2 linked regions of the Tamandua tetradactyla genome follow. The protein of the gene in region 1 purifies or fractionates together with the protein of each later gene. This does not show direct contact. Links are inferred from orthologs where the notes say so. Each region holds a gene or a part of one and is shown on either strand. Other genes may lie near its edges. The genes, in order: CAPN2 and AFG2B.

Region 1 (16,859 bases):
TACATAGACAATTTCTCAAATGACAGATTTTGATGGCAAAATACATAGAATATTTTTACTGTGCAAAAAAGTTATGTTTTGAACATTACAAATGAAAAGGTTTTATGATAAATTTTATAAATTAAGCTGGGTTTTTGGTTTGGTAAAGCTGTTGAAACACCATATACCAGAAATGGGTTGGCTTTTAACAATGGGGATTTATTAACTTACAATTTACAGTTCTTAGGCCATGGAAATGTCCAACTCACAGCATCAACAGGAGGATACCTGGACTCTGAAGACAGGCTGCCAGCATCGGGGGCTCCTCTGTCACATACTAAGGCACATGGCAGTGTCTGCTTTACCTTTTCTCCCCATTTCATTGCTCCAGTGGTTCAGCTTCTGGCTTCAGTGGCTCCGTTTCTCAACTTCTCTGGTGCTCTTCTCTGTGTGCTTCTCTTAATTTCATCTCTTTTAGCTTCTCTAAGAGAGATACTTTATCCTCTTATAAAAGACTCCAGCAAGAGGATGAAGACCCATCCTGAATGGGGCGGGTCACATCTCAATTAGAAATAACCTAATCAAAGATCCCACCTATAATATGTCTAACTCACAGGAACAGATTAAACAAACATGGCCTTTTCTGGTATACATATATATATTTTATGGTATATCATAGTTTCGACCTACTGCTCTGGGAGAAGTAGAGGAAACCCCAACTTAATGAAAAGATGTTTTCTAATTTCTGAATGGAACAGTTACAGCTAACTAAGATCTATAATAAAGAAAATGTCATGTTAAATATATATAAAAAAATTATACGGAGCATGGAACTAGTAAATGATTATAGCAAGAATAACAGGTTAATATATAAAAGCCAATTGCTTTCCTGTATACTAGCAATGAAAAATTGGAATTTGAAATTAAATAAAAAACACAATGCCAAAAAAAGAAACAAAAAGAAGAAATTCTTAAGTATAAATCTAACCAAATATGTACAAGATCTATATGAGGAAAACTACAAAACCTTAAGGAAAAAGTCAAAGATCTAAATAAATGGGGAGACATTCCATGTTCATGGATAGGAAAAGTCAATATTATGAAGATGCTAAGTCTTCCTGAATTGATTTATAGCTTCAATGAAATCCCAATCAGCATCCCAGCAAGTTATTTTGTGAATTTCAACAAAATGATTCTAAAGTTTATATGGAAAGGCAAAAGACCCAGAATATCCAACACAGTACTGAAGAAGAACAAAGTCAGAGACTAGCTTCAAAACTTACTATAAAGCTACAATGATCAAAACAGTGTGGCATTGGCAAAGAATAGCCAAATAGATTAACGACCAAACTGGAAAGCCCAGAAATAAACTGACACAAATACAAATATAGTCAACTGCACTGTGACAAAAGAGCAAAGGCAATTCAATGGAGATAGTCTTTTCAGCAAAGTTGTTAGAAAACTGAACATCTATATGCAAAAAAAAAAAAAAAATCTAGACCCAGACCTTACACCTCTCACAGAAGTTAACTCAAAATCATTCATAGAGCTAATGTAAAATGTGAAACCATAAAACTTCTATAAGATAACATAAGAGAAAATCTAGATGGCTTTCAGTTTGGGAATGATTTTTTTTTTTTTAGATACACACCAAAAGCAAGAAAAAAATTGATGTTGGACTTCATTAAAATTTGAAACTTCTGCTCTGCAAAGTACACACAAAGAAAAGAGAAGCTAGAGACTGGGAGAAAATATTTGTAGAATATATATCTGATAAAGGACTTCTGTAAAAAAAATATACAGAATTCTATATCTGACTTCCGGGCCAAGATGGTGGCTAAACAATGTGCGCATTTTAGTTCGTCCCCTAGAACAACTACCAAATAACCAGAAACAGTACAGAAAGCTCCTGGGGCCACGTCAGTGACCAGACACACAGCGTACCCCAGTATGGACTAGCTGGACTGGCTGCAAGCCCCCCCCAGAACCGTGAGCTTCCCAAGCTGTGCATGGCAGCCGGCGCCCCTCCCCCACAGACTGCTTCCGAGAGGGGAAAGGAAAGAGACTTTACCAGCAGCAGGGGCTGAGCCCAACCAAACATCAATTGTGGAATTAAGTAACAAATTCTGACAGCTAAAAATAGGCCCCCAGCTCAGGTGAACCTGGTCAAAGCTGAGGTTGCTCATTTTAGCCCCAGCGCCAAGGGGGCAGGGCTGACAAAAAAAGGAAAAAAAAGAAGGAAACAGGTTTTTGTGGCTGTGTTTCTACAAAGGCTTGACTGCCTTTGGATATAGAGGCAGGGCTCCTCAGGCTGCATCTGCCCCAGGCATAGGCAGAAACAAGCTCATTTGAGGCCTTGTCTGGAGCCTTTGCCTTCCGCAGGGGAGGGGTGAAGCCCAAGGAATCCCTCCCTCAAGGAATTCAGACCCCAGGGCTTGGTAATTTGAAGCCATTAAAACCAGCCTACAACCTCTCCTCTGTTTCCACCACACCTCCAGCAGGGAGAGTCTGCCAAAGTTAAAGGTGCCGCATCATCTTATGCTGGTGGGACCTGCAGGCAGACAAGTGCCACATACTGGGCAGGATAAGAAAAACAGAGCCCAGAGACTTCACAGGAAGGTCTTTCAACCTGCTGGGTCTCACCCTCAGAGAAAACTGATGCAGGTGACTCTTTCCTCCTGATAGGAGGCCAGTTTGGTCTGGGAAAATCTGGCTGGGGTCTATAACACCTAAGTAGACCCTCCTAAGTGTGTGTGGGGGGAAGGCACCATACAAGCAGGGCAAGAAACAAGAAAACAAGAACTGAAAAATTCTCCTCTGTTAAACAAAACTTATGCTAGAGGTCCAGATGAAGCAGAACTGAATGTCAAAGAACAGACAGACAACAAACTCACCCAACAAGAAAACCCTAGATAAAAGAAGTGAAAGCAATCTCCAGAATAAACTAACTAAGGCAATTAAATGCCTAGATGCCAGCAAAAAATAACAAATCACACTAGGAAAATGGAAGATATGGCCCAGTCAAAGAAACAAACCAACAATTCAAATGAGATACAGGAGCTGAAACATTTAATTCAGAATATATGAACAGACACGGAAAACCTCATCAAAAACCAAATCAATGAATTGAGGGAGGATATAAAGAAGGCAAGAAATGAATAAAAAGAAGAAATCGAAAGTCTGAAAAAACAAATCACAGAACTTATGGGAATGAAAGGCATGGTAGAAGAGATGAAAAAAACAATGGAAACCTACAATGGTAGATTTCAAGAGACAGAGGTTAGGATTAGTGAACTGGAGGATGGAACATCTGAAATCCAAAAAGAAACAGAAACTATAGGGAAAAGAATGGAAAAATATGAGCAGGGACTCAGGGAATTGAATAATATGAAGCGCACAAATATACATGTTGTGGGTGTCCCGGAAGGAGAAGAGAAGGGAAAAGGAGGAGAAAAACTAATGGAGGAAATTATCACTGAAAATTTCCGAACTCTTATGAAAGACTTAAAATTACAGATCCAAGAAGTGCAGGGTACCCCAAAGAGAATAGATCCAAATAGACATACTCCAAGACATTTACTAATCAGAATGTCAGACGTCAAAGAGAAAGAGAGAATCTTGAAAGCAGCAAGAGAAAAGCAATCCATCACATGCAAGGGAAACCCAATAAGATTATGTGTAACTCTCTCAGCAGAAACCATGGAGGCGAGAAGACAGTGGGATGATATATTTAAATTATTAAAAGAGAAAAACTGCCAACAAAGAATTCTATATCCAGCAAAACTGTCCTTCAAAAATGAGGGAGAAATTAAAACATTTTCAGACAAAAAATCACTGAGAGAATTTGTGACCAAGAGACCAGCTCTGCAAGAAATACTAAGGGGAACACTAGAGACAGATATGAAAAGACATAAGAGAGAGGTGTGGAGAAGAGTATAGAAAGGAAGACTATGAATAAAGGTAAAAAGAAGGAAAATTAGATATGACATATAAAATCCAGAAGGCAAAATAGTAGAAGAAAGTACTACCCATGCAGTAATAACACTGAATGTTAATGGATTAAACTCTCCAATCAAAAGCCTGGCAGAATGGATTACAAAACAGGACCCATCTATATGCTGTCTCTACTCAAAGGACACGAGGCCAAGGACACAAATGGACATTTACACACCAATGTTTATAGCAGCACTATTAACAATTACCAAGAGATGGAAACAGCCAAAATGTCCATCAACAGATGGGTGGCTAAACAAATTGTGGCATATACATACGATGGAATATTATGCAGCTGTAAGACAGAGTAAAGTTACGAATTACGTAACAATATGGATGGACCTTAAGGACATTATGCTGAGTGTGATTAGCCAAAAATGAAAGGTCAAATACTGTATGGTCTCACTGATATGAACTGACATTAGTGAATAAACTTGGAATATTTTGTTGGTAACAGAGACCATGAGGAGATAGAAATAGGGTAAGATATTGGGTAATTGGAGCTGAAGGGATACAGATTGTGCAACAGGACTGAATATAAAAACTCAGAAATGGACAGCACGATATTACCTAACTGTAATGCAATTATGTTAAAACACTGAATGAAGCTGAATGTGAGAATGATAGAGGGAGGAGGGCTGAGGCATAAATGAAATCACAAAGAAAGATAGATGATAGACTGAGGTGGTATAATCTGGGAATGCCTAGAGTGTATAATGATAGTGACTAAATGTACAAATTTTAAAAATGTTTTTGTATGAGGAAGAACAAAGGAATGTCATTACTGCAGGGTGCTGAAAATAGATGGTAATTAATATTTTAAAATTTCAACTTATGTGTGAGACTAAAGCAAAAAATGTTTATTTGGTGCAAAATTTATATTTTGATTAGTTCATCTCCTAATAAAACTTATGTAGATAGTTGGTTGAACAACCTAAGTACATGGAACCTTGGGTAGGATATGAGATGTTGGTTTGTCCAGAGTGATACCAAGATGAATCCTAGAGTGATTTGATCAGTGAGTGGAAAAGTATTTGCAAAGTCCCCTTCGGAGAATGGTGAGAACGGGGGAAAATTCAACCTCTCCAAGTTGAATTCTTGATATTCTCACAAGCAGTGTGGACAACCAAAGCTATAGGCTGAGCCCCCAGTCTTGGGGTTTGTTCATATGAAACTTAACCCCACAGGGGATAGGTCAAGCCTACTTAAAATTAGGCCTAAGAGTCACCCTCAAGAGAACCTCTTTTGTTGCTCAGATGTGGCCTCTCCAGCCAACACAACAAGCAAACTCACCACCCTACCCCTGATAGGTGGGACATGACTACCAGGGGTGGACCTTCCTGGCAACGTGGGACAGAAATACGAGAATGAGCTGGGACTCAGCATCAAGGGATTGAGAAAAACCCTAGAATGAGCTGAGACCCAGCATCAACAGACTGAGAAAATCCTCTTGACCAAAACGGGGAGGAGTGAAATGAGACAAATTGTCAATGGCTGAGAGATTCCAAACAGAGTCGAGAGGTTATCCTGGATGTTATTCTTACGCATTTTAAGTAGATATCACCTTGTTATCCAAGATGTAATGGAGAGGCTGGAGGGAACTGCCTGAAAATGTAGAGCTGTGTTCCAGTAGCCATGTTTCTTGATAATAATTGTATAATGATATAGCTTTCACAATGTGACTGTGTGATTGTGAAAACCCTGTATCTGATGCTCCTTTTATCTACCTTGTCAACAGATGAGTAGAACATATGGAATAAAAATAAATAATAGGGGGAACAAATGTTAAAATAAGTTCAGTTTGAAATGCTAGTGATCAATGAAAGGGAGGGGTAAGGGGTATGGTATGTAAAATTTTTTTTTTCTGTCTTCATTTTATTTTTCTGTTGTCCTTTTATATCTTTTTCTGAATTGATGCAAATGTTCTAAGAAATAACCATGATGATGAATATGCAACTATGTGATGATATTGTGAATTACTGATTATACATGTAGAATGGAATGAGCATATATTAGGAATGTGTTTCTTTCTTGTAATTTTTTTAATTAATAAAAAATTTTTTTTAAATATACAAAGAACTTGCGAAACTCAACAATAAGAAAACAAACAACTCACTTAAAAATGGGTAAAACATTTGAACAGACACCTCACCAAAAAAACATACAGTGGAAAATGAGCATTTGAAAAGATGTTCAATATCACGTCATTAGGGAATTAAAATTAAAACAACAATGACATGACACTACACACCTATTAGAATTACTAAAATTCTAAACACTGACAACACCAAATGTTGACAAAGATATGAAGCAACAGGAACTCTCATTCATTGCCGCTGTGAATGCAAAATGGTACAGCCACTTTGGAAGAGAGTTAGGCAGTTTCTTAAAAAACTTACCATATGACCCAGTAATTGCACTCATAGATATTTATCCAAATGAGTTGAAAACTTATATCCACACAAAAACCTGCACATGGATGTTTAAAAGCAGCTTTACTCATAATTGCCAAAAATAGGACGCAATCAAGATGCCCTTCCAAAGGTTAATGGATAATCAAAGTGTGATATATCCATACAATAGAATATTATTTAGCAATAAAAACAAATGAGCTATCAATCCACAAAAAGATGTGGAGGAAATTTAAATGTTTATTGCTAAGTGAAAGAATCCCATCTGAAAAAGGCTACATACAGTACAGTCCAACTATATGACATTCTGGAAAATGCAAAGCTATAAAGACAGTAAAAATATCTGTAGTTGCCAAGTGTTCAGGGAAAGGATAAGAAAGATGAGTAGGTGGAGCACAGGTGCATTTTAGGGTAGTGAAAACATTCTGTATGATACTGTAAAGGCAGATATATGACATGTACTTGTCAAAACCCATGGAACTATATGAGGCAAACCTAATGTAATGGACTAACGGACCTTAGTTAATAATAATGTATCAATATTGGTTCATCAGTTATAACAAATATACTACACTAATGCAAGATGTTGATGATAAGACAAAGTATGGAAAGCAAGAAGGCATATGGGAACTCTCCATACTTTCTGCTAAACTTAAATTTTCTGTAAACCTAAAACTACTCTAAAAAATAAAGCCTATTAAAAACATATGAAAACAAAAAAAATACAAGAAAACAAATAAAAAACATATATGAAGCAAAGGAATATTGAAATGGATGTTCAAATATACATGAGTGTACTTTTTCCCACAAAAGGGAGGGTAGTTCCATAATTGGGCAGAATTCATTTGCATGTCTTAAAAGGAGAATTATTTTACATTGCTACACTTATCTGCAACTAAGAATTTAAGATAATTAAAAAACAATGAAAGGATAGAATCAGATAATATGGAAGGAGATGTTCTAAACCAGAGTTTCTCAACATCAGCATTATTGATATTTTGGACCAAATAATTCTTTGCTATGGGGAACTGTCCTGGACAGTGTAAAATGTTTAGCAGCTTCTCTGACTTGTACCCAATAAAGAGCAGTAGTAACCCCAACCCCCTCAAGCCATGAAGCTATGACAATCAAAAAATGTCTCCAGACATTGTCAAATGTCCCTTGGGGTAGGGGTGGGAGGCAAAAATTACCCCCAGTTAGAACCATTGTTCTAGACAATGCAATTTTCCATTGAAACACAAATTCTTCCCTATATCCAGAAGAAGCAACCTTTTCCAATCCATACATCTTTAGCACATAACCCATTTCTCTCTGTGAGCTGACAGAATCGCATGCTGTCTCTCCCACAGAGCGGTTAAAGAAACAACTAGCATGGGCACTGTTCTAAGTGTCCTACCAAGGAGCAACTCAATGCTCAATGAATTCCTCCAACTATTATTGTTCTCATTTTAGAAATGGGGAAACCGAGCCACCGAAATGTTAGCTAACTTGCCCAAGAACAACACACAGCTACTAAATAGTAGAGTTGGGATTCAAACCCAGGTGGGCTGGCTTCAACATCTATGTTTTAACCACAGACTCACCTCCACCCCCACCTCCAACAGAGCCTGGCATGTAATAAGACGCTGAAAGATGCCTAATCAATGAAGGAATCAAGTTGCTAGCTTTGGAACTCTTTCCTAACCCTGAGCCTCCTAAGGCCGTCCCAGCTGGCCTGCCATTGCATAGCTAGATGCCCCAGAGTTAGAGGACCATGAAACCTCCTTGATTACAGTTCAAAATGAAAAACAAGCACCCTTGGTTAAATTTGAATTTCAGGTAAACAAGGAGTGGTCTTTATTATTATTATTATTTTTAGTATAAGTATTTTCTGTGCAATATTTAGGACATATATATATAAAGGGGGAATTTAATAAGTTACAAGTTTACAGTTCTAAAGAAGTGAAAATGTCCAAGTAAGGCGCCAACAAGAGGTTACCTACACTCAAGAAAGGTGGATTGGTCTGGAACACCTCTTTCAGCTGGGAAGTCACGTGGAGGACAATATTCTTAATACACAAAAGTATTCCTTGTTTATCTGAAATTCAAATTTAGCTAGGCATCCTGTATTTTTATTTGCCAAATATGGCAACTCCACTTGTGATATTATAGCTGATCAGTAACAGTGTAGCATCGCGACTTCTAGTCGTGCCCCGTTCACTTAACCTCTCTGATCCTCAGTTTTCTCATCTGTAAAATGAGGACAGTACAGTACCTTCTTCAAAGAGGTGTTGGGAGGATTAAATAAGGTAACATATATAGAGCCTAGAGCCAGTAGTACGGTGTCTGGCACAAAGCAGAGCCCAATTAATGGTAGCTAGTCTAATCCTAGCTCCCTAATTTCCTACTGACTCATAAGGTGTTTCCAGGATAGTTAACAATTATCCCAGCCTCGGGTTTCTCCCAGCCTTCCTCCCCGGAAAGTAGGAAGTTGGCAGCCGGGTCTTGGATTGAGCCGCAGTAGCCCAGCCCCGCCGCGCCCCTCGCGCCGCCCCGGGAGCGGCCGGCAGGTGGCAGCACAGGCCTCGCGTGCCGCGGTCCCCGGCCGGACCTCCCCAGGCCCCGGGGGGAGCCGCGTCCCGGGCCGCGCCGCCGAGCAGGCCGGGAGCGGCCGAGGCCACACCCAGGCCGGGCGGGGAGCGTTTCCCCTTCTGGGTGAATCATCTTCCGCAGCTGCCGCTCCCGCAGTCCCGTTGCAGCGCGCCCAGGCCTCGTCAGCGCCCCTGACCCGCGCAGGGAGCCAGACGCCCCCACCCTCGCTCCTTCTCGGGCCGGGGACCAGCGCCATGGCGGGAATCGCAGCCAAACTGGTGAAGGACCGGGAGGCGGCCGAGGGGCTGGGCTCCCACGAGAAAGCCATCAAGTACCTCAATCAGGACTACGAGGCACTGCGGGACGAGTGCCTGGAAGCCGGCGCGCTCTTTCAGGACCCCTCCTTCCCGGCCATCGCGTCTTCCCTGGGCTTCAAGGAGCTGGGACCCTACTCCAGCAAGACGCAGGGCATCGTGTGGAAGAGGCCCACGGTAGGAGCGCGGGCGCGGCCGGGTGCAGGGCGGGGAGGGGGCCCGGGCCCCCCGGTGCCAGGAGCACCCCGCGGTGTGGACGGAAAGCAGCACCGGGGAAAGTCGCAAACCAGAGTGAGCCTTCCGGCTGACTCGCCCCGGGCTGCCTCCATCCCGTTACCCTGGGCCCCGAGGGTAGCCTGGATCTCCGGCGCTCTGCGGTCCTCAGAGGGGTTTGGCTCCCTCTTCCACTCCCAACACCCAGGACGGGTCGTGTCGAGGTGGGTCTCTGTCCTCAAATCCCATTGCAGGTCTGCTAGGGGAGCCACCTTTGAACTTTGACACAAGGGGGGAGATAAGTTTTATTGGACCCTGGTGGGAAGATGTTGGGAAGTGGGTTGGGGGGTTCGCAAGAGGCAGTCTCTGACAAAGTCAGTCTCTACCTCCGCTTATCTCTTCTTCAGGAGCAGGAAAAGTCCAGAGCCCACTTCGTTTTGTGACTAAGTATTGTGTCACACAGTTGAAGTGGTTAGATGTATCACTCAGAGTTTTATGTTCACTTTTCTAAATGGGATTTAGCAAAAACGGCCTGTAATGTTTAAATTGGTGATTAACAAAAGACTTGGGAGATGCTGCAAAGAGCAAGTTTATCATCCTTCCAGTGCCCCAGAAACCTCACCTGGAGAGCTTTTCCAGCCCTTACACCTGAATGTCCAGCCTCTTAATCTAGATGTCCATTTAGTTTCCCAAGAAACCCCTGCTAGCTCCTGCCCTCTCCTATAGGACATGTCACCAAGCTACCTCCACCATCCCTAAATGAGGCTTCCTGGGAAAGCCAACCTTTAGATTCCTAAAGGAATAAGCATCCCTGCCCTGCTTCTACTCCCCTGAGCCTCCCAGGTCACCCCACTGTTATATTCAGACAAGTCACCCAACAGTTGGAGATGCTTGTGGGACTTCTGAATGAGGATATAGAGATCTTGAGGGTTGTAATACGTTATGGATTGGGACCTCTTCATTTCAGGGCAGCTACTTAGAGTATGGCAGACTGTACTACACAGCTGAGGGGGAGGTGTAGCTGTTATTATTCTCATGAGGCAGTTGAAGGCGTTGAAGCTTCAGGTATACATGGTGGTACCAAGTTTCTAACCTGTGCGTGTTTTGAGCCCTCAACTTTACGGTTGCCCTCACTGCTTCTGTCTGTCCTACCACTGTCAGACTCCACTGTGGTCAGGCAAGAAAAAAGAAAACTTCCAGCTGGATGTGTCCATTACCAAGACTTTAGCAGAGCAATTTCAAGGGAAAGATGGCAGTAGAAGCCAGCTTGCATTAGGCGGAGGAGTAAATCTACTCCAGAGAAAGGTACTGGGAACAAGGGAAGAGAGACAGGAATGGGTAGAGCGGGGCCTAGGGTGGGAGAGGCTGGTATTTTCTTCACATGAAAGCACCTTATATGTGCTCTATATTGAGCCACCAGAGAAGAAGGAATTAAAGATAAAGAAGAAAGGAGGTAATCATGAGACAGGATCCCTGAGGAAATAGGAGTATAGGGTCCTTGGAGGACAGGGGTCTGTCTGGTCAGCCTTGGCGTGAATAGGGACTGCTCTTCCTCAAACAGAGGTTGGTTCTCCTGTGGGCAGGGCCAGAGGGCTAGAAGACAAAAGATTTTACAATATTGGCAAGAGAGGGCCTCCAGGAATGGGAAAAGGAATAAAGCAGAAAATGGCTGAAGTCACGGTGAGCTCCTAGGGCTGGTGCAGGAAGCATAGTAAGGAAAGAACTGTCATGATTGGAGGATGTCACCTCAGAAGCTCCCAGCTACAGACAGTCGGGTAAGAGCAAGGGCAGGTATTTCTATTCCCCATTCTTCCCCCTGAGGGAACCAAGCCTCTGAAGTATTCACAACTCACTTATTTTGCACTGGTTGAATTCAGCCTCAAACCAACATCTCCTGCCTCCAAGCTCAGGGATTATCATCATCAAATTTTTTCAAAATAATGCTGGTGGGAGGTAACATTTATAGAGTGCTTACCAAGGCATATTTACATATTTATTTCATAACCCTGAAAACCTCTGCAGTAGATATACTTGTCACCATCTCCATTCTACAGATGAGGAAACTAAAGCATAAAAAGCTAAGTTTCTTACCTAGCATCATAGAGCCCATCTGAAGTGAGTTTGAATCCAAAGCCCAAGCCCCCGACCTCTTTCCCCTGACTGTTACAGCCAGTGTTTAATGCAATGCCCTAATGCTGTGCACAAGTTTTGGCTTTCTGGATCATCTCTAAACACCACTCTGAAATTTGACTTTTTTGGAGAGACTGCCAGAGGCATGAGAAAGTTTCTGAAACATGATGGAAAAATCCTTCAGGGGAAGTGCTTGGCACATTGAGGATTATCAGTATGAGTGTCCATAATAAAGAGGCTCCTAGCACTAGGCAGCCAGATAAGTGCTCAGTTGGCAGGCCTCAGGCAATGCAGGTTTCTTTTGGCTCGCAGAAAAGCATTCTCATTGCCCCTGGCATTCCCCAAACAGATTGACCTGAGCAGGGATAGAGACAATGCAGAGGCATTAAAGGCATTTGCTCTGCAACTGAGTGTGGCTCACGAAGAGCCTCTACAATCCAAGCCAGCTTGGACAGGGCCTGCATCCAGCAGATCTCAACCAAGAAATTGGGACCGAGGCACCCGCATATGATGCTCAAACAGGCATGAGATGGAAGAGCAGCTTGTACAAACCAAGGTTGTCCAAGCCAAGAACAACCCAGATTCATGCCCCCAACTTCCTCTGTGGCTTTGGGGTGGAGCTCTTATGAATCAGGAAACACACTCAGAGAGCTACTGAAAGAGTCTGAGCCAGAAGTGTTCAAGGTTGGTTTCATCCAGCCACTTGTGGTACGGTCGTCCCTGGGGTTTTAGTGCCCTTGGAGTCCTGTTACTAATCAATTAGTGGCTGTGCAGATGTGAAGAGTGTGTCATCAGAGTAAGACCGGTGAATTCAAATCCCAGTACCAAGCACCATCTATCATAATGAGTTGTGTAACTTCAGAAAAACCTCTTTACCTCTTTGAACCCATTCCCTCATCTGTAAAATGGGGATAATACCCATCTTGTGTTCTTGGAAGAATTGCATTAGATAAAGCATCAAGCACAATATGTGAATCCAAAGCCCAAGCCTTCAACCCTTCCCCTGATTGCTACAGCCATGTTTAATTCAGTGCTGTATTACTGTGCAAAAGGGTCACTTTTCAGAAGCATCTCTAAGCACTACCTAACATATGGATGATCCAAGTATTATTGGGACATCCCATAAATCATGGAAGAATTCAGAAGGCTCCTAATGATACACTTCCATGCCCTCAAGAAATGTGTACGTGTTAGGAAGACAAGAGTAATACCCATGAACACCAAAAGACAATCTGCCATTAAGTGCTAAACTGCAGAGTACAAATACTGTGAGTATCAGAATCAAGGGGAGGGGTGTGGGGATAGATTACGAAGGAAGGCTTCATGGAGGAGGTGAGAGTGAGCCTTGAAATGTGGGAAGATAAGAGAAAGGAGAGAACAAGGCAGGAAAGGGAGGAGTTCCATGCAAGCAAAACAGCTGCAGCGTTATTCACAACAGGCCAAGTTTAAAACATCGTGACCATCGATGAATGGATGAATGGATGAATACAGCATGGTATATACATACAATAGAATATTATCTAGCTTTAAAAGGAAATGAAGTTCTGATCCGTGTACAACTGAATGAACTCAGAAAACATCATAGCCAGTGAAATAAGCCAGACACAAAAGGACAAATATTGATGAATTCACTTTTATGAGATATCTAGAATAAGCTAATCCATGAAGATAGAAGGTCAATTAGAGGTTACCAGGAGCTGGGAGGATGGAGGAATGGGGAGTTACTGCTTTATAGGTAGAGTTTCAGTTAGGGGTGATAAAAAAGTTTCTATAATGCACAGTGGTGGTGGTAGCACAACATTGTAAATGTTATTGTCACTAAAGTGCACTCTTAAAAATGGTGAAAATGGCAAATTTTATATTATATATATTTTACCATGTTTTTAAACACTTTGGTAAAATTGAGAAAAAAAATACTTGCATTCAAGGACAGAGGAGCGGGTACAAGCATGGCAGACAGGGTGGCTCCAGGTTATAGAGGGCCTTAGAGTCAGAGGAGACTGGGCTTGATGCTGCCACAGCCACCAGGAAATAGCAGGTGGATGTAGGCTCTAGGCAGTGGGAATGTGTGTGGTCGGTTACTGCTCTTCTCAGTCAGATGCGTCCACCACCCACACCCATTGGGACCCCCGGAGCAGGGTTCTGCCATGGCAGCAGAACAGGGGCTTCCCTTGAGGGAGACATTTCCCAGGGGGGAGGGAAAGGGGGAGAAGCGGTCCAAAGTACCTCTGGGGAACTGAGGCATCCAAAATGCAAATGTGCATGCACGGTGGACTAATAGGTCTGTTGGTCTCGTTCCCAGGAGATCTGCGATGACCCCCAGTTCATTGTTGAAGGAGCCACCCGTACAGACATCTGCCAAGGAGCCTTAGGTAAGTGGTGACATCCAGAGCAAGTTGTGGGGTTGGGTCTACAAGACCGGGGTGAAGGGAGTGACGGTGGCTTCTCTCCCTTTCAGAAGAAGCTTAGTGATTTCCATTTCCAGCTTTCTGAGCTCCTGGAATTTCTTGTCCCCAAAGGTAGCAGTTCTACCCCCAACCCCATGCCAAGCACACCAATGCATATGTACAGGATTGAGGGACTCCTGGGCCCCAGCACTGGGCTAGTTCCTGGGGTTACAAAGATGCTCCCCCGGAAGAATTGAGGAGCTCCTGATTTCAGCCACCAATTGGTCTCTGTATCCTCTGGAGCCAGTGTCACCAGGTGGCCTGTGAAATGGTCAGGGTCTGGGCCGAGGGCCGGGTGGGAGGACACCTCCAGGCCAGTAACAGGTTTAAGATACCAGTGCTCTGAGGTTCAGGGACAGGGGAAGGTGACTCAGTGTGAATGAAGAGAAGACCCTAATGCTCACTGCTGAGAGGAAGTCCAACTACCACAGAGTCTTCAGTGTTTGCAAGACAAGCTCACCATGGTTTCACAACAGTAGGAAGCGGTGTATTTCCTTGTAAAGGCAGTTGGAATGTTTAAGTAAAGCTAACTGGAGTAGCTGAGTGTGAAGGTCTACAACTTTGCTCTCTGAAGGTGAGTTCTGATGTGTTTTTCTGGATATAGTGCTGTCTGTGGATTTGAACCCATAGTCCTCCAACTTTAGTATGAAAGCTACCAAAGAAGTCCCAGTGGGGGCTGGGACTATTATTTAAAATTCTCATAGAATCCACCCTTGATTTATTTTTGTTGATGATAAATATGGGTCTGTAATTGCTTGAGCAGATTATTTGTTCTGGTAAACGAAAAACTTGTTTCCTGCCACCAGTTTCAGCTAGCTCCCCAAACGAGTTCATCTTGTAGTCCCTTTTCTCACTTACCTAGCGGAGATTCTAATACTCATAATAACAACTAATATCGATTGAACATTTACTATGTGCTGGAAATTAAACTGTACTTGAGAAAACGCTAAGGTTTTTTGATAATTCCCATTTTATAGATGAAGATTCCGGGGTCCTAGTAACTTGCTTAAGGTCCCCTGAAGTAGGGACCTGGTGTGCAGATGCATTCAGGCGGGTCCAGGGCTTGTGTGCTTAGCTCCTGAGCTAGACTCCTGAGAAGGAGGCCTGGAAAAGTTCTCACCCCCGAACGGATGTCAGGCAGCTATGTGAATCATTAGGACAGGTACATGGGAGCCCGGTAGGAAATTCCTCTGAGGGAGACCATGACGCAGGACTGGGCAGCAGAACCAAGCTGATTTAAGTTCAGTGCCCAGATTCCTGAGATGCCAGAGCACGTTCTCACCTGCAGAAAGCATGGCTCCCCATTTCCACCTTCTGTCTCCCATTTCCCCCTCTCCCTCCAAAAGAAAGAAGGCCAGGCGTCCCCAGGTGTCTAAGGTGGGTGCTCTGTGGAAATCCATTGTTTAGAGAAGAGGGAAGATAATGGGGCTGGAAGTTGATGGAAACGTCACCCAATCCTGGAGGGCTTTAGAGACTCCAGAGACAAATGTAGCAACTGCCACACCTGTAGTAAACACCACACCTGTACTAAATATCTACTTCAGAGCTTAACAACATCTTCAGAGCCAAATTGCAAGTAATGAATGCCTGATGTAAGTCTTGTTTAAATACTACCAGGCCATCCGGAGAGGAAACAAGCAAAGCTTACGTTCCTGGGGCGGATTTCCCTCCTTGTGCACCAAATCAAATAAAATAGGGTTAAATGTAAGCCTTTTGAAAGTTTCTCAGTAACGGGCCTGTAATTTTTAAGGTGTTTTATACCATGTCGGCCTTTTTTGTTCTCTTGGCCTTTTTATATCGGAGGATCCTGGTTAGATTACAGACTTGGAAATGCCGCTTACTGAACTCTCACCCCGACTGTGACCATCACCAAGTCCTAAGAGGACCAGAAGTTTCAGAGACAGGGGTGTGGCAGTGCCTCCAGCCCATGGAGCCAGAGATGCAAGCTCAGGCTCAGCTTTGTTGGTCAGCTTTGTCGGGAGACTTTGGGCAAGTCTTTTAACTTCCCAGCACTCAGTTTCTTCGAAAACTGAGGAGGAAGGAGGGTGAATGAAGTGACCACGAAGATCCCTGAGATGTGGCATTCAACCACTCAAAGCTGTTCCTCATTCCTGAGGCTGGATTTTGTCTTAAAGCGTCTTTTATCACTAAAATGGAATAGTAACAGAGCCTGATGCTTGTATACAGTACATAACTTGGAGCATTTTTCATCCCATTATCTCCTGTAATCAACTCAGTTCTGAAGTAAATATTTTCACCCCACTATGCAGATAAGAAAACTGAGGCTCAGAGAGGGGAGGTTGCGCATAAATCCACACAGGTAGAAATTGCCAAAGGAATGAATCCTAATCTGATTTAAAATCCTGCCTTCTGACCATTTCTTTGAAACTCTTAACAGAAATTCAGCCTTGTAGGTATTGGAGAGAAGTACACCCTATATTAAAGTGCATGTTAAGTTTTCTACACCAAGAATTTTCGGTATGTGTTTTGACAAAGATAAGCAAGCTGGATTCAAAATGGATATTTCTGTAAACGTAATTTTAAAATCAGCACTTTTAGAGCTAACAGATGCCAAGAATCAGTACGATAGTGTTCCAAAAGGATTTCTTTACAAACATGATAATGGATAAAACAAAATGCTTACAACTACCTACCAGTACAGTCTCATGGAAGGCACTTTGAAATAACTTTCTGCTTTGTTAGTAAAATTCTCTCTCTCTCCAGAGCAGCAGGCATGTTTTAATTTATAAAGACTAACATTCAAAGATAGTGCTGAATTAAATGGTATTTAATATCTAGAA
Region 2 (16,188 bases), on another chromosome or scaffold:
TTGGCTTTTAGGTTTTAAGTTGTGCATAGTAGAGCCTTCCTTGCTTTGTGCTTATGTTTTGGAGAATCCTTTTTGCAATTCCCTTGATCATTCTAGTGAAGCAAATTTTTTTGTTAAAGAGTTAAAAACTCCTTATATTTCTATTTGTGACATCTTTATTATATACACTGAACTATATGCCTACACACTAAATTCTAAAAATTTATTTTTTTCCACAAGTTCTCATTTTTAATAAGAACATTATTACATGGTTTTTAAAATTGCTTTTTTTTTTCTGGCTGGAAGTATCAGATCTTAGGTACTCGAATACTAATTAGTTTTTAGGTAATACCAACTAACTTTTATAAATCCTTTTTATAGTTTATGCTTACTTGTATATATACTATTTCATTTAATTCTTATAACAACCCTTTCAGGCAGATAAAATTCTTTCCTCTCTGTGTGTATGTTAAATCCTATTTCTAATCCTTTAGAAGGAACATCACTTCACAGGAAGTTTAGCAAACTTTACTGTATCCCTTGTCTGCCCTGGCACAGATAGCGGCAAAAATAGCCCCATGGCAACTTGGTAGTGAAAAGAAGAAAAAGATAGAGCTAATCCAGATCCCTCTGTACTTTCTTCCACACTTCCCCTGAGTTGTTTCTGAGCTCAGCCATCACCTGTGGTAACTACCCCTGGGTACTCCTAGGACAGCAGCAGCTGACTGTCCTCCTCTTTCCTAAGCCAGAGGTGCTGAAGAGTCAAACCTGGAACTTCAAAGCAGAGGGAATCCTAAATGTACATCTCCTTTGCTCATCTCCTGGTACTTATCCCCCCAGCCCCTCACCTTCACCTCACCCCCAAAAGACATATATTCTCACAAGTTTACACATGGAACCTGTCATTAAAACTTCACGCAGTTTTGGTTCTAAATCCAGAAGATGAGGACTTAAGAGGAGTTCAAGTTACTCCTTACCTTTAGTGTAAGAGCAGAAATAAAGTAAAAGGAAGAAGGGGATGAATTGTCTAGATAAAAATTTTTTTCAAAATTTAAGATGATAAATCATCCTTTCATAGTTTACACAAATTTAAGATTGGTTTTTAAAAATTACAAAATCAAAAAGCAATTTTAATGTTACAACTAAAATTAAAAACTTTGTCCCAGAATATTCAGCCTGCTGAAATTAATTTTTTTCCCTGAAGGGGTTTAAGGATTTATGATTACTTATATACAAAATGACCTGACTTTCGCAATCAGTAGTATTAAAATGATTATATTTAAGCCAATACTCTAAATATTTTTGAGAAAAGTAGTAATGAATTTAAGTCTTCAATGTTAAAGACAAATTTAAATAAAATTACAGGTGCCTGATCTTCTGAGTTAGAAACATTTTCCCTCCGCAAGATACTCATTAATAACAAAGGGAAAACATAGAAGTTTAACAAAAGAGAAACATTACAGATATCATCTTATCCAAGTGACCTATATATGTTTTTCCTTCCTTTCTCTGTCTCTGTCTCTCTCTTTCTTTCTAAAGTTTGATATGAAGGAAATTAGTGGGACAAATGGTGAAATTTAGATCAGGTTTATATAGAATATGCAGAAATATTGTATAAGTACTAATTTCTCATTTTGATAACTATACTACAGTTGTGTAAGAAAAATTCTGTTTTTAGGAAATATACACTTAAGTTTTCAGAGGCAAAAAGGTATCATGACTGTAGCATTATTCTCAATGTTCCAGAAAAAAATATATAAATATACACATAAAGAAACAATAACGCAAACATGGTAAAATGCTAACACTTGGAGAATTTGGGTTAAAGGGACAGACATATTCTTTGTACCATTTTTGCTTAAGTCTGAAATTGTTTCAAAACTTATAATTTTCAAAATTAAAAAAAAAGTTTGATTTTCTTGGGGCCACTGACTTTGCTGGCTGCTATGGAAACCGTTGGTTACAGCACGACGGAGTTACAATGAAAGCAGGGAAAAAATTTACTGGGTAACACTCAGTCTTTTCTCCCCGTCTATCATATATTATTTATATGTAGTTGAGATATAAAAATATATTGAAGAAATGACTGTGGAAGCAGTGGGGACAACCAAAGCAATAGGCTGAGCCCTCAATCTTGGGGTTTGTTCATATGAAGCTTAACCCCACAAAGGATAGGTCAAGCCTACTTAAAATTAGGCCTAAGAGTCACCCTCAAGAGAATCTTTGTTGCTCAGATGTGGCCTCTCTCTCCAGCCAACACAACAAGCAAACTCACCACCCTCCCCCCCTCTACGTGGGACATGACTCCCAGGGGTGTGGACCTTCCTGGCAACATGGGACAGAAATCCTAGAATGAGCTGAGACTCAGCATCAAGGGATTGAGAAAACGTTCTCGACCAAAAGTGGGGGAGGAGTGAAATGAGACAAAATAAAGTGTCAATGGCTGACAGATTGCAAACAGAGTTGAGAGGTTATCCTGGAGGTAATTCTGAAGCAATAAATAGATATCACCTTGTTAGTCAAGATGTAATGGAGAGGCTGGAGGGAAATGCCTGAAAATGTGGAGCTGTGTTCCAGTAGCCATGTTTCTTAAAGATGACTGTATAATGATATAGCTTTCACAATGTGACTGTGTGATTGTGAAAACCTTGTGTCTGATGCTCCGTTTATCTACCTTATCAACAGACGAGTAAAACAAATGAAATAAAAATAAATAATGGGGGACCAAATGTTAAAATAAATTTAGATTGAAATACTAGTGATCAATGAAAGGGAGGGGTAAGGGATATGGTATGTATGAATTTTTTTCTGTTGTCTTATTTCTTTTTCTGAATTGATGCAAATGTTCTAAGAAATGATCATGATGATGAATATGCAACTACATGATGATACTGTGAATTACGGATTATATATGTAGAATGGAATGATCACAAAAAAATAAAAAGAAAAAAGAAATGACTGTGGAAGCTATCAAAATTTCCAAGAAAAAGTACTTGCCCTTTTTTTCTAATCCTCAAATTAATCTGTTAAACGAACAAAAAGACCAAGGTAGGCAAAAGGTCATAAATCAATTATTTCTTACCTTATTGCAATGAAGCATGGCGTGCATGGCAGCCTCTCTACACAGTGCTGTCAGGTCTGCACCAACATAGCCAACTGTCATTTCTGCAAGGAGGCCCAAATCAACATGACTGCAGGTGGGCATCTTTGAGGTAATCACTTGCAGAATTTCCTTTCTTTGCTTAAGAGTAGGAGTGCCAATAACAACCTACATGAAAAGCAAAAACAGAAAAATTAAAATGGATACAGATTAAAATATTAGATTTTTTTAATCCTCACAAATGTGTGCAATAATTTAGTATCTAAGGATACCTTTGGTTCTGAATATACAAAAAATTAGGACTCTACGCATTAATTTTCCAAAGGACTAACACTGACTAAAAACATGCACAATGAAAACAGTATATATCATATAACAAATTTTTATTCTTTATGACACCCTACCATGTTCTAGGAGACAGAAATAGAACAGTAAATCACATAGTCTAGGTCTCTGACCAATAAGAACTTATTCAGAAGACAGGTACCAAATAATGCAAGGAAATCCACTTAAGTCTTATCAGGTGAGACTAAAAGTGTGCAATTGTTATCAGTCTGCTTAGCATCCTACCAAAAAGTTCAACTAACCAATGAATTTCAAACTATCAGAATTCAAGAATCATTTTAGGGCCCACACACTACTGAGCCTGAAAAGTCCACTGCCACCTACTTTGGGCACAGAACATCAGTCATGGATAAAAAAGAGCTGGTGCAGAAGGCCAAACTAGCTGAGGAGATTGAGTTATACGATGACAGGGCAGCCTGCGTGAAGTCTGTCACTGAGCAAGGAGCTGAATTATCCAATTAAGAGAGAAATCTTCTTTCATTTGCTTATAAAAATGTTGTAGGTGCTCGCAGGTCATCTTGAAAGGTCATCTCAGGTATTGAGCAAAAGACATCAAGTGCTGAGAAAAAACAGCATATGGTTCAAAAATAGAGAAAACTGAGACCAAGCTAAGTAAAATCTGCAATGATACACTGTCGTTTTTGCAAAAGTTCTTGATCCGCAATGCCTCACAAACAGAAAGCTAAGTTTTCTATTTAAAAATGAAAGGAGCCTATTACTGTTACTTGGCCAACTCTGCTGCTGATGGCAAGAAAGGGATGGCGGATCATTCACAAATATACCAAGAAGCATTTGAAATCAGCAAGAAGGAAATGCAACCAATGCATCCTATCAGATTGGGTCCTGTCCTTAACTATTCTGTGTTCTCTTAGGATATTATGAACTCCCTGGAGAAAGCCTGCTCTCTTGCAAAGACAGCTTTTGATGAAGCCATTGCTGAATTTGACATATTAAGAATTATACAAAGATAGTATGCTAATAATGTAATTACTGAGAGACAACATAACACAATGTAGACATAGGATACCCAAGGAGACAAAGCTGAAGTAGAAGGGAAAATGAACCGGCATTTCAACTTTTGTCTGTCTCATTTTAAAATTTACAGTTGACTGTCACCCTTGCTATCCCACAATTCTTTATAATTTATGACATATTTATGTTACTTCTACTTGAATTTCTGTATTTCCCATGTGGTTTTTACGTTTAATATTAGGAGAGTAGAGCCAGTTAACATTTAAAGAGTTATCTGTTTTCATCTTGAAGTGGCCAATATTGGGAAGTGGAATTGTTACACAAGTTATGTTAGGCATGGTACTTTTGGTACATTGCGGCTTCACAATGTCTGCCAATTGTTAAAACTGCCTACACATTGGAGGATAAAAAGGACAATTGGTTCCATCACAAGTATACCTACTGTGGGTACTTTCAAGTTTGGAGCACATTCAAAGCTGTGGTAGAAACAGACACCCTATCAATATTACATGTTGAACCATGTATATCTGTGGGCTCCACAATCTCAATGTGCATACCTTTGACTACAGCTGCAGGAAGCATTCCTTTAGAGAAAGTTGTGACCCAATTTACTCTGGAGAAGGGCAGAATCGGTTCACATTCCATTATTTGTAAAGTTACTTATTTGCTTTCATTTTTTTAAAAATGCAAACATTCCTATTTTGATCATTCTGTTCTACATATATAATAATTCACAATATCATTACATAGTTGCATATTTATCAGCATCATTTCTTGGAACATTTGCATCTATTCAGAAAAAGAAATAAAACGAAAACAGAAAAAAAATTTATACATACCATACCCCTTACCCCTCCCTCTTATTGATCACTAGCATTTCAAACTAAATTTATTTTAACATTTGTTCTCCCTATTATTTATTTTTATTCCATATGTTCTACTCGTCTGTTGATAAGGTAGATAAAAGGAGCATCAGACACAAGGTTTTCACAATCACACAGTCACATTGTGAAAGCTATATCATTATTCAATCATCCTCAAGAAACATGGCTACTGGAACACAGCTCTACATTTTCAGGCAGTTCCCTCCAGCCTCTCCATTACATCTTGAATAACAAGGTGATATCTGGTTAATGCGTAAGAATAACCTCCAGGATAATCTCTCAACTCTGTTTGGAGTCTCTCAGCCATTGACACTTTGTCTCATTTCACTTTTCCCCCTTTTGGTCAAGTACGTTTTCTCAATTCCTTGACGCTGAGTCTCAGCTCATTCTAGGATTTCTGTTTCACGTTGCCAGGAAGGTCCACACCCCTGGGAGTCATGTCCCACGCAGACAGGGGGAGGGTGGTGAGTTTGCTTGTTGTTTTGGCTGGAGAGAGAGGCCACATCTGAGCAACAAAAGAGGCTCTCTTGGGGGTGACTCTTAGGCCTAATTTTAAGTAGGCTTGACCTATCCTTTGTGGGGTTAAGTTTCATATGAACAAACCCCAAGACTGGGGGCTCAGCCTATAGCTTTGGTTGTCCACACTGCTTGTGAGACTATCAAGAATTCAACTTGGGGAAGTTGAATTTTTCTCTGTTTTCACCATTCCCCGAAGGGGACTTTGCGAATACTTTTCCACTCCCTGATCAAATCACTCTGGGATTCATCGGGGTACCACTCTAGACAAACCAACAAAATCTCATGTTCTACCCAAGGTTCTAAGTACTTAGGGTGTTCAATCAAGTTATCTACATAAGTTATATTAGGAAATGCACTAGTCAAAATATAAATTTTGTACCAAATAAACATTTTTAGCTTTAGTCTCACACATAAGTTGAAATTTTAAAATATTAACTACCATCTATTTTCAGCACTCTGAAGTAATGACATTCCTTTGTTCTTCCTCATGCGAAAACATTTTTAAAATTAGTACATTTAATCACTATCATTATGCAAATGTTCTAAGAAATGATGAATATGCAACTGTGATGATATTAAGAATTACTGATTGTACATGTAGAATGGAATGATATCTTAATGTTTTGTTTGTTAATTTCTTTAATTAATTTAAAAAAGTTAAAAAAAATAAAATAAAAATAATCACTATCATTATACACTCTAGGTATTCCTAGACTATATCATCTCAATTTTTATCGTCTTTCTTTCTGATTTCATTTATTATTTGCTATGCTCATTTTATTTGTATGAAATGTTTCAGGCAACCTAAGAACCGTACAAGTAATGATGCAGCAAAAATGAGTTGCTTTGACATCCATTACTTCATGTATATAAAGCAGAGCCATTAAAACCAAAAGCCCAAGTACTTAACTTTTTTAAGGTTTTTTGCTTTTGTGAATTTTTTTTTTTTTTTGATACTTGCCTAACATGCATGTGCTGTAAAAATAGTTACAGGGAAATACCTTGATGAGGACTAGCTTTGTTTAATATCTTACAAAATTTTCATGGACAACCCAAGCATAATCATTAAGAATTAAATGTATTAAGTTGATGTGTTTACTACAGCAAATCTCTCCTTAGCTGATGAGATTGTGTTTACCTCCCTTAAATCTTTTGTCATTGTCTGCCTTTAAATCCTTCTTCTATTCTCCAAATAATGATAGAGATAAGTTATACTTAAACCTCACCCTATAGACTATTTCTTCAGTATCTTGCAGAAAACATCAAACAAAAAAACAATTTTAAAAGAGCCGTACTTTTTCCTTTTAGAAGGTAAGCTCCTTAAGACCAGGGACAATGTTTTTGCATGTTTTACTGTGCCTGTTCACTGTAAATAAACAATAAATATTGATGATGGGAGGCAGTGAGTCAATGACAAAGGAGAGAAACTGAAATTCCAAATACTGTTTCGTTGAGGGGCTATTATGACCTCAGATTAAACTGAGAAATACTGGCCCTTTTGGAAAATTGTCCCAAAGATTACATTCAAATAAAAGTTCAATGGAGAAAGAAAGAATCAATTTAAGACCAAAGCTTATTAAAAGGTCAGCTTTGAATACTCAATTTCTCGACAACTCCAGAGCAACAGTGGGTACTTTCTCTGTGGTGAGACAAGAATTCCTTCTTGAGAAGGAATTAATAAATCCAAAAGACTTCATTTACTTCCCCACTGCCCTCCCCATTTTTATTTCAATATACTTATTACTTGAGACTATCCTTGTGCTTTAAATTCTCATTTCAATTCCATATGAGTTTAATATGCTCGTGGCAGACCTAGTTCCCTTAAGAATTAACATAATTGACTATAGCGCTCATCTCCAAGATCTCTACAACAAAAACCATGAGTATTTGTGAACTCTCCTTGCTTCCCAGAACAATATGAATCTGGGGGAAAACACGCCCTAGCTTACAGACGATATAGGCTCGGAAAACACGTCTCCTGCATTAAAAGCGCCCCGGTCCCACTTCAGTAACTTCCAAATCTAAGTGGGAAACGCCTCGAGACAGCCAACCAGGAACAGAGGCTAAAGTTCCAGGGACAAAGGGGTAGCCGGCGGGTCTGTTCACCTCTCGATCAAATCTCCCAGGTCTCCGCAGGGCTGGGTCTAGCGCGTCTGGCCGGCTCGTGGCTCCTACAACCACCACCTCTCGGTCCCCACTGATGCCGTCCAGCAGCGTCAACACCTGGGCTACCACGCGGTTCTCCGGAGCCCCGTAGGGGCCGCCCCGTCGGGGGCACAGGGCGTCCACCTCATCCAGAAAGAGGAGGCAGGGCCCGCAGCTGGCCAACTCCTGGGCGCGCTGGAAGACCCGTCGCACGTTCTCTTCTGTCTGCCCGGGCCGGGCGCCCTGAAGCGTTGGAGCGCTCACTGCCAGCAGCTCGGCGCCCGTTTCCCGGGCCACGGCCCGCACCAACTGGGTCTTGCCCACTCCAGGAGGGCCTGCCAGGAGCACCCCGCGAGGCACGTCTAGACCCAGGGCGGCCAGGGTGCGAGGGTAGCGGAGCGGCAGGCTAAGGAGCTCTCGGAGTGAGTCGGCCGCCTCGGACAGGCCTCCCAGGGGCACCTCCGGCCGCTGCTCGGATTCCGACGGCGGCGCCCTGCTGAGGACGACGCGGGTGCGAGGGGTGACCAGCCCGGCCGGATCCGGGCTGGGTGTCCCGCCGACAACGTGCAGGGCGGCCAAAGGACCGGGTGCGCCCGGCGGCACGGACACCACGTGGCCCCGTGAGACCGGTCGGTTCCTCAGCAGCTCCTGAGCGGCCTCCAGCACGTCGGCAGGACTCGCGGCGTCCGGCGTGCCAGTTCGGTCGCGCAACACCGGCCACACGGTGAGGCGCCGCAGGAGCGGGCAAGGCACCAGGCGGAGGCGGCTCAGACTTAAGGTTCCCAAGGTCCCCGACGCCCCCCCTGCCGCCCCGGGGCTCGCACACTGCAGGTCCAGCTGCACAAAGCCGTCCGCTCTGTCGCGTCGCGGCCAAACTGTACAGAGACAGGAGCCGCCGACTGGAAGCGAGATCTTCACCGCCGACCCTAAGCGTGCGCCCAAGGCACGGAGGGCTGCCGGGCCCAGGCGACAGCGCTGGGTGCCCCGATCCTTAGCTTCTAAAGGTAACAGCCGTAAAAGCGGCCCTTCTGGAAAGGAACCGGAGTCCGGAGCCATTGTGTGCGCAGGAGCAGAGGCCGAGGTTTAAAAAAAAAAAAAAAAAAAAAAGTCTGAATTCCACCCGGACTGGAAAAGCTGGCACACCCCGCTCCCCACCGGAATTAGGTGACGCGCATGCGCTAAGGGAGGCTGCTGAGTGGCGACGGGAAGGGCCAGTCGGAAAGTTAGATGGAGCTCCGGCCCTAGGTTTAAGGTTGTTGCGCTGTCCGCATTGATCAAACCGAGTCGCCCCTCCCAGAGTTTAGAGAGATGATCTTCGCTGCTGATGTTTACGAGGCAGCGTAAGCTTACCTTGATCAGCTCATTAAGCATGTACCTGGGCGGTTTGGGTGCATACTCTTTCCTTGGTCTAGCAAGAACTTCCACTTTTGGAGTGTCAGCTTACGGGCACAGTATTGTTGGGTGCTTTCATGCTAATATCTTCAGAGACTTGAGATAGCTGAGAATACAGACTTGACGCCTTCGATAATCAGGATCCCAACCTGTCTATGAGATTGACGCGCGGCCTTCCTCTAGAAAAGCGTCAGCATTGAAAAAGAGACACTTTGTGGCATTTTAAATCCCTTGGAGAGGGGAAAGAAGGAAAACTAGGACAGCGGTTATATTTGTGGCAGTCCAACACATTTTACTCTGATTCGAGATTCCCTTCTTTGAATGTTCTTTGACAAAAACAAAGGATAGGTAATCACAACCTCTTCTGTTCATGAGATAAGTGCTTACTTTCTATTTGGGGCATAGCAGTAGTAAGTCCTGTATCAGAGGCGAGGCCTATCTACGCCATTAAAACTACTGCCTGTTATTTTTCCATGTGCTTTTCATATTTCTTCCCTCCCCACAGGGAATTATTTTTTCATAATAATGGAATACATTTCCTATCCCTTCTATCTGTGCTCATCAAAAAGAACTGCAGATATCGAAGTCAAGAAAATATGCCTTGCTTTTATTCTATTCACATCTTTGTATGGTTTATGAGAAGATCAAAATTGAAGTTGCAAATAGAGTGCTTAACATCACTGGGATGTTTATTTTTACCTCCCTATCTATGCAAATAAGCTATTGCAGACTGTATAACAGTGCTCTCAATGGAAAGTATTGTCAGATTTGGTGGTCTTAAAATCAGTGCCTTTCCTGGTCTCATTCTGTCCAAACTTCAGGGCAGACGCTATGACATAACTTCTGGATTCCGCAATAATTTGATCAGTCTCTTCTGTACCTTTTCAAATCCAGTGCCGGAGCAACTTAAAGAAATCAGAAAGTAACAGCAGCAGGAAGAGGTCCTGAAATGGGTAAACCCACATTACTTCCTATTTTCATCCTTCTCTTAATCTTACTGTCTTCTGAAATAAGCCATTATTTTTACTCATTCCTGAAAGTGTCAGTGAAGTATACATCAAGTTTTCCTATACTGATGTCTGTACTTCTGCTCATGGAGGTCACTTTTATTTTAGGTTCCAGAAGCTCCGAGGATCTAGAAAAGGAGAGGAGACTTAATATGATAACTGTCCTAAATGTGTAAAAGGTTGTCATGTGAAAGAGTTGGTAGATTTTGTTTATATCTATAGTGCATAATTGACCAGGAGGTGAAAGTTTCATGGAGTAAACTTAAGAGACTTTGTCTTCATAGTTTGAGTATGGTCATGTGGAAGAGGTCCAAGATTTTCTTGTAAGATATAGTCAAAGAGGCATAATCAAAGCCAACTGATAAAAAAGGATGCAAATAAAGTTAAATAAGTCATAGCATTTTCTGCATTGCTTTAAAGCAGTTGAGAGTAGAGGCTGCAATTTTAGTGACATAATGATGAGGAAATTACTTGTTGTTTTGGTTGGTCTAGAGTTTGACTTTACATGAGGTCAAACTGGAATTTTCTGACCCTGTAGGACCCATGTCCCCAGGAAACATTTACTTCACCCTCTCCTTATAAGGCTCAGCCCTCATCTTAAGTTGCAAGCGGAAGCAATCAGGATTCCTGTTCCTGGCCCTTCAACTCTTACCCACTCACTCCCAGCAGAACTCTTATTATAACTGACTTTTCCAGTTAACCAGCGGAATTCATTCTGTTCCTTTTTGGTCAGACTATTTGCAACACTATTATTTCAACCATTTTAACATCCATAATTTTCATATCATTCAATGACATCATCTTCTCCATGTGGAAAATCGGGGTTATGTGGTTCTTATGGTTGTTTTTAATATAACCCCAAAGTTGGTAATTCTTTGAATTATAGAGTACCAATTAAAGCGTCAAAAGGTTGAACAGTAGAGGGAGTCCAGAACCAAATAAGCCTGAAGGGTACAAGGTTGTTGAGTTTGAAGTATGAGTTAGGATTAAGTGGCTTAGATTTTCCCAAGACTCATACCCTGGTATATGAAACAGTCATGTTGTCTCTATATACTGTTACTAATTTTAACATAATTTACTAATTTTAACATAATTTTGTATACATCAGACCAGAACTCAGTTTCCAAGTTAAAATTTAATTTTTTTAAATATCAAAATGAGACTTTCCATAAATGCAAAATTTAGTGGTAGATCAAAATCCAAATAAGCCAAGTTCATCTTGCTACACCCTAGAAACAGTTCTAGCTTTGAATTGTTTCAGAGTGCCCCGCTAAACATACTACCTTTTGTGAAATTTTTCCTCAAGAGATGCATTTAATAAATAGTTTGTTTTGATTTCAGTTGCTACGTTCAAGGTTACAGTCTGCCTAATATTAGATTAACAGTGAGTTTTCTTTTTAACAATATTTTTAGAATGCAAAAGAAATAATTGGAACTTATTTCTCTTTTTAGAATAATAATTATACAATATTTTGGTACTTTCAGCATCAATAATATTATCTACAAAATATTATTTTTCAGAATATGAAATACATACTAATTTTGAAAACTCTAAAGTAAATGCTTGGTTGAGCCAGTAGCATGAGCCACCTATAGATTAGTGAATGCCAATATTTCTTGTGTTTCCAGTTTATGTTGTATGCAATCCTAATATATTTGAGTATTAGCAATGATTATGAGCTGTAACAGATATAGTTATTCATTTAACCACACTTGAAAATGCATAATTTGTAAATTTTCATTTCAAAATCTCCATGTAGATATAGCAAGTGACTTATTTCCACAGACACCTAATATGCCAAACAAGTTTTGTCATTTTAAATTATGTAATGAAAGCCTTCCCCATATATTTAACAACATCCCCATATAGGATATTGTTAAAATTGTTCTTTAAAAATTTCAATTTTTAGTGGCAGAGGCTCATGTATGCAGGCTACAATTATTCTTTAAAAGATACAGACGCAGGGTAAGGGGTGGGGGTGGGGGTGTGATTAGAACCAAGAGAAACTTTTTTTGGACTATGCCCCCATTCTGGCAATTGTTCACAGAACACCATTCCAAAACGCCATTCTTCAGATTTTCAGGATATTGTTTGCTTCATTCATTATTTTTTGAAAGTTAAATCTTGAAGATAATTTTTCCCCATGATGTTAGTTCAAACTGTTCAACTAATAAAAATATAAAATCCATAAATTTATTCAACAGATATTTATTGCACATCTACATTGTGCTAATTACTGTACCTGAGGCTAAATATTTGGTGGTGAAAACAAAAAACAAAAACATATCTTTGCCTTCTCAAAGTTTATGGTCTAGTGGGGAACTCAGACTTTAAAGGAATAAATATGTGACTAAACCAGATAATTAGATGAAAGAAAGGAAATAAACAGAAAAAGACTACTTTAGATGGGGAAGTCAGGAAGGCTTCTCTGAAAAAGCAACATTTAAGCTGAGGCTAAAGGATGCTTAGCAAGCAAAGCAGAAGACTGGGGGTCAGGGGTTTCATATAGAGGGCTAGAAGAGTGTATCAGGCACCAGAAAAACCTGTGCTAATGCTCTGAAGTTGACATATGTTTTCTGTGTTTAAGATATTAAAAGAGGACAGTTTTGTCTTTACCATACTTTTGGCGCTTACTTTCTAATTTTTTTTTTCTAATTGTGTTATTCTGAGTTAGTAAATTGTTTACATTTGGGAGCTAACTCAAAAAGTATATATATCTGTGGTATACTTAAGAATTTAATAGTATGCTGGCATGTAGTTGGTACTCAATAAATACTTGTTGAATTGAGTTTTTTATTGATTTTAGGGACTACAGTCTGGTGATTCATACTGTGTGTGTATTTATATCTTTTTCTACCCTGATTTACTAGATACTGAATAGAACTCAAGGAAGTGTCCCTACTCCTGACTAAGACCAGCCCTTCCTGCCATTTCTATCATTGAACCTTCCCTCTTTTGCACACTTTTTTTTTTGCACACTTAATTTTGACTAGATAAAGCATTTTAAGAGTTTGTTACAATTCAGGATTGCCTCCATAATTATTGTTAACATTCAAATGCTGTATTTTAGGGTTGATTATAATATGTAATTGGAAATCCATGTGCTATAGGCTTACCTAAAAACATCCATCCCCCCCTTTTCTATTCCTGCTATCAGTTAGGAATACTTACCAGTTTTCATGGATTATTGTAGTAGCCTCCAAACTAAACTCCATCCATTTAGCCACTATATTAATCCAGCCAGAAAACTATTATACTTTGATCAGTTTGGGTATTATATCTGAGGTCTATTAGAACTGAGAAATTTAGTCTACCCTAACGAATCCTAGAGCTCTCAAACACTCAGACTTGTCTAAGAATTGACCTAATATTGTCTGCATATGATCTAATCTTTGTGACTAAACCAAAAAAAAAGGCCAGCCTACAGAAATTGGGAAAGCACCATCTATGGTGATTTGAAGCAGTCTGTACCCCAGAAAACCATGTTCTTAAATTTAGTCCATTCCTGTGGATGTAAACATATTGTAAGTAGTACCTGTTGATCAGACTGCTTCAGTTAATTGTGGCCCACATGATTCAGGATGGAACTTAATCCTATTACTGGAATCCTTTATAAATGGAATGAATACAGAAAGAGAACATCACAGAAGCAAGAAGCTGAAAGCAATGAAACCTGGAAAAGAAGGCAGAGACCAGCAGATGCCGCCATGAACCTTGCCATGTGGCTGAGGACCAAGGATCACTGGTAGCCAATCTTCAGGAAGAAAGCATCACTTTGATGATATCTTGATATGGACATTTTCTTGCTTCAAAACTGTAAGCTAATAAATTCCTACTGTTCAAGGCAAACCACTTCATGGAATTTGCTTTAAGCAGCCTAAGAATCTAAAACATGCCAAAAAAAAAAAAAAGCCAGCTACAGGAATTGGGAAAACAACATCTAAAGATGGTTTATTCATAGTGATTTCACAGGTGACTTCATCAAAATTTTCCTCCTAGTGCTTTGTTATACTCCTTCTAAGAATGGAATGAAATCTTTAATTTCTAATTTCTAAGGCATAAAGATAGGCAGGTGTTCTAATTTGCAAGCTGCTGGAATGCAATATACCAGAAACGGAACAGCTTTTAAGAAGGGGAATTTAATAAGTTGCTGGTTTACAGTTCTAAGGCCGAGAAAATGTCCCAATTAAAAAAAGTCTATAGAAGTGTCCAATCAAAGGCTTCCAGGAAAAGATACCTTGGTTCAAGAAGGCCGATGAAGTTCAGGGTTTCTCTCTCAAGTGAGAAGGCACATGGCGAACACAGTCAGGGCTTCTCTCTCAGCTCGAAGGGCATATGGCGGACATAGCATCATCTACTAACTTTCTCTCCTGGCTTTCAGTTTCATGAAGCTCCCCGGGAGGAGTTTTCCTTCTTCATCTCCAAAGGTCGCTGGCTGGTGGACTCTCTGCTTCATGGTGCTGTAGCATTCTCTGCTATCTCTCATTCTCCAAAATATTTCCTCTTTTATAGGATTCCAATAAACCAATCAAGACCCACCCAAATGGGTGGAGACATGTCGTCCCCTAATCCAGTTTAAGAACCACTCTTGACTAAATCCCATCATCCAGGGAGATGATCTGATTATAGTTTCAAACATACAGTATTGAATAGAGATTATTCTACCTTTATGAAATGATATTTTGATTAAAACATGGCTTTTGTAGGGGGCATACTTCCTTTCAAACCAGCACAGCAGGGGATCAGAAAATATCTTTGCTGCCCCATTTTGTCTTATGAATTGGAAGCATCTTGTTGGAAAAATCCAAGCTCTGAGAGAGAAAGAGTAGAGATCTTGTGACCTTTTGGCTTAAAAATGGAGAGCTGACTGCACAAAAGAAACTGATCTACTAGGTTCCAAAACAGCAAACTGAAAACAAAGGGAGGAAGGTACACATTCTGAATCCTCTCAGATAGAGAAGTTTCTTTAGAATAATCACATTGTCCTTAGTACTGAATGGTTCATTTGTCTAGTGAAATGAAGGTCACTGCTTCCCCACACACACACACAAAATGTGTGGGAGTGGCCATGAATGCCTAGGCATTTTTCAGAATTTTCTTGGGGTTATTTCTGTGTTGCCCTTCTACTCCCAGACCTCCAAACTCTTCTGACTTCGAGTAAACTCAGTGTGTTTGAGAACCATGATACAGTGCCTGACATGCTCTAGTGCTGGTGGATTGGAATTTTGGCCAAAAACACGCCCAACCAGAATTAATTCATTTTTCCTTTGGTATTTTTCTTCAGGTAATCTGCACTCCTTTTACTAGTTGGCTTCATTCTGCCTTGAATGAGTTAGTTATTTTCCTATCTGTGTTTGCTCTGTTCCCTCATGATTTTACACATTAATGCTATGTCTTAGTCATCTTTCACTTTACCGTCTCCTAATGTGGGCTAGCATTGTTTCTTTCTTTTTTTTTTTTAACATGGGCAGGCACTGGGAATCGAACCCAGGTCCTCTGGCATGGCAGGCGAGCATTCTTGCCTGCTGAGCCACTGTGGCCCGCCCAACTAACATTGTTCTGAACCAGTGGAGACAAAAAGAGATACCAATTTAATGATTCAGCATTCATATTCATTTGTTAAATTCTATCTTCTCAGTATAACTCCACCATCATCTTTGATCTTTCCTCCCCTCTCTTTAGGAGTGTTTGGGCTATGGCAATTCTAAATTTTTCTTATCAGAAGGGTCTGTCACTAATATGGAGTAGGGAGATGGGAAGTTTCTTTTGAAAAGTAAAATGCTCTGTTGGCATATATTGTAAGGCTCTCCTAAACAATAATAGTTTATATATCAGCAGGCACAG

What was found.
Region 2: the proteins of CAPN2 (region 1) and AFG2B purify together in Homo sapiens (co-immunoprecipitation; 3 studies listed by BioGRID and IntAct, with this or other methods). This does not show direct contact. The link is inferred for Tamandua tetradactyla from reciprocal best matches to the Homo sapiens genes CAPN2 and AFG2B.

The regions. Positions count from the first base shown.
Region 1 is NC_135328.1:137,670,998-137,687,856, reverse strand, and holds the start of CAPN2 (calpain-2 catalytic subunit), read left to right. Parts: upstream 1-9,053; 5' UTR 9,054-9,208; coding exon 9,209-9,445; intron 9,446-13,913; coding exon 13,914-13,983; intron 13,984-16,859. UniProt on the Homo sapiens protein: Calcium-regulated non-lysosomal thiol-protease which catalyzes limited proteolysis of substrates involved in cytoskeletal remodeling and signal transduction. Proteolytically cleaves MYOC at 'Arg-226'.
Region 2 is NC_135340.1:59,649,810-59,665,997, reverse strand, and holds the start of AFG2B (ATPase family gene 2 protein homolog B), read right to left. Parts: upstream 9,035-16,188; 5' UTR 9,001-9,034; coding exon 7,906-9,000; intron 3,248-7,905; coding exon 3,062-3,247; intron 1-3,061. UniProt on the Homo sapiens protein: ATP-dependent chaperone part of the 55LCC heterohexameric ATPase complex which is chromatin-associated and promotes replisome proteostasis to maintain replication fork progression and genome stability.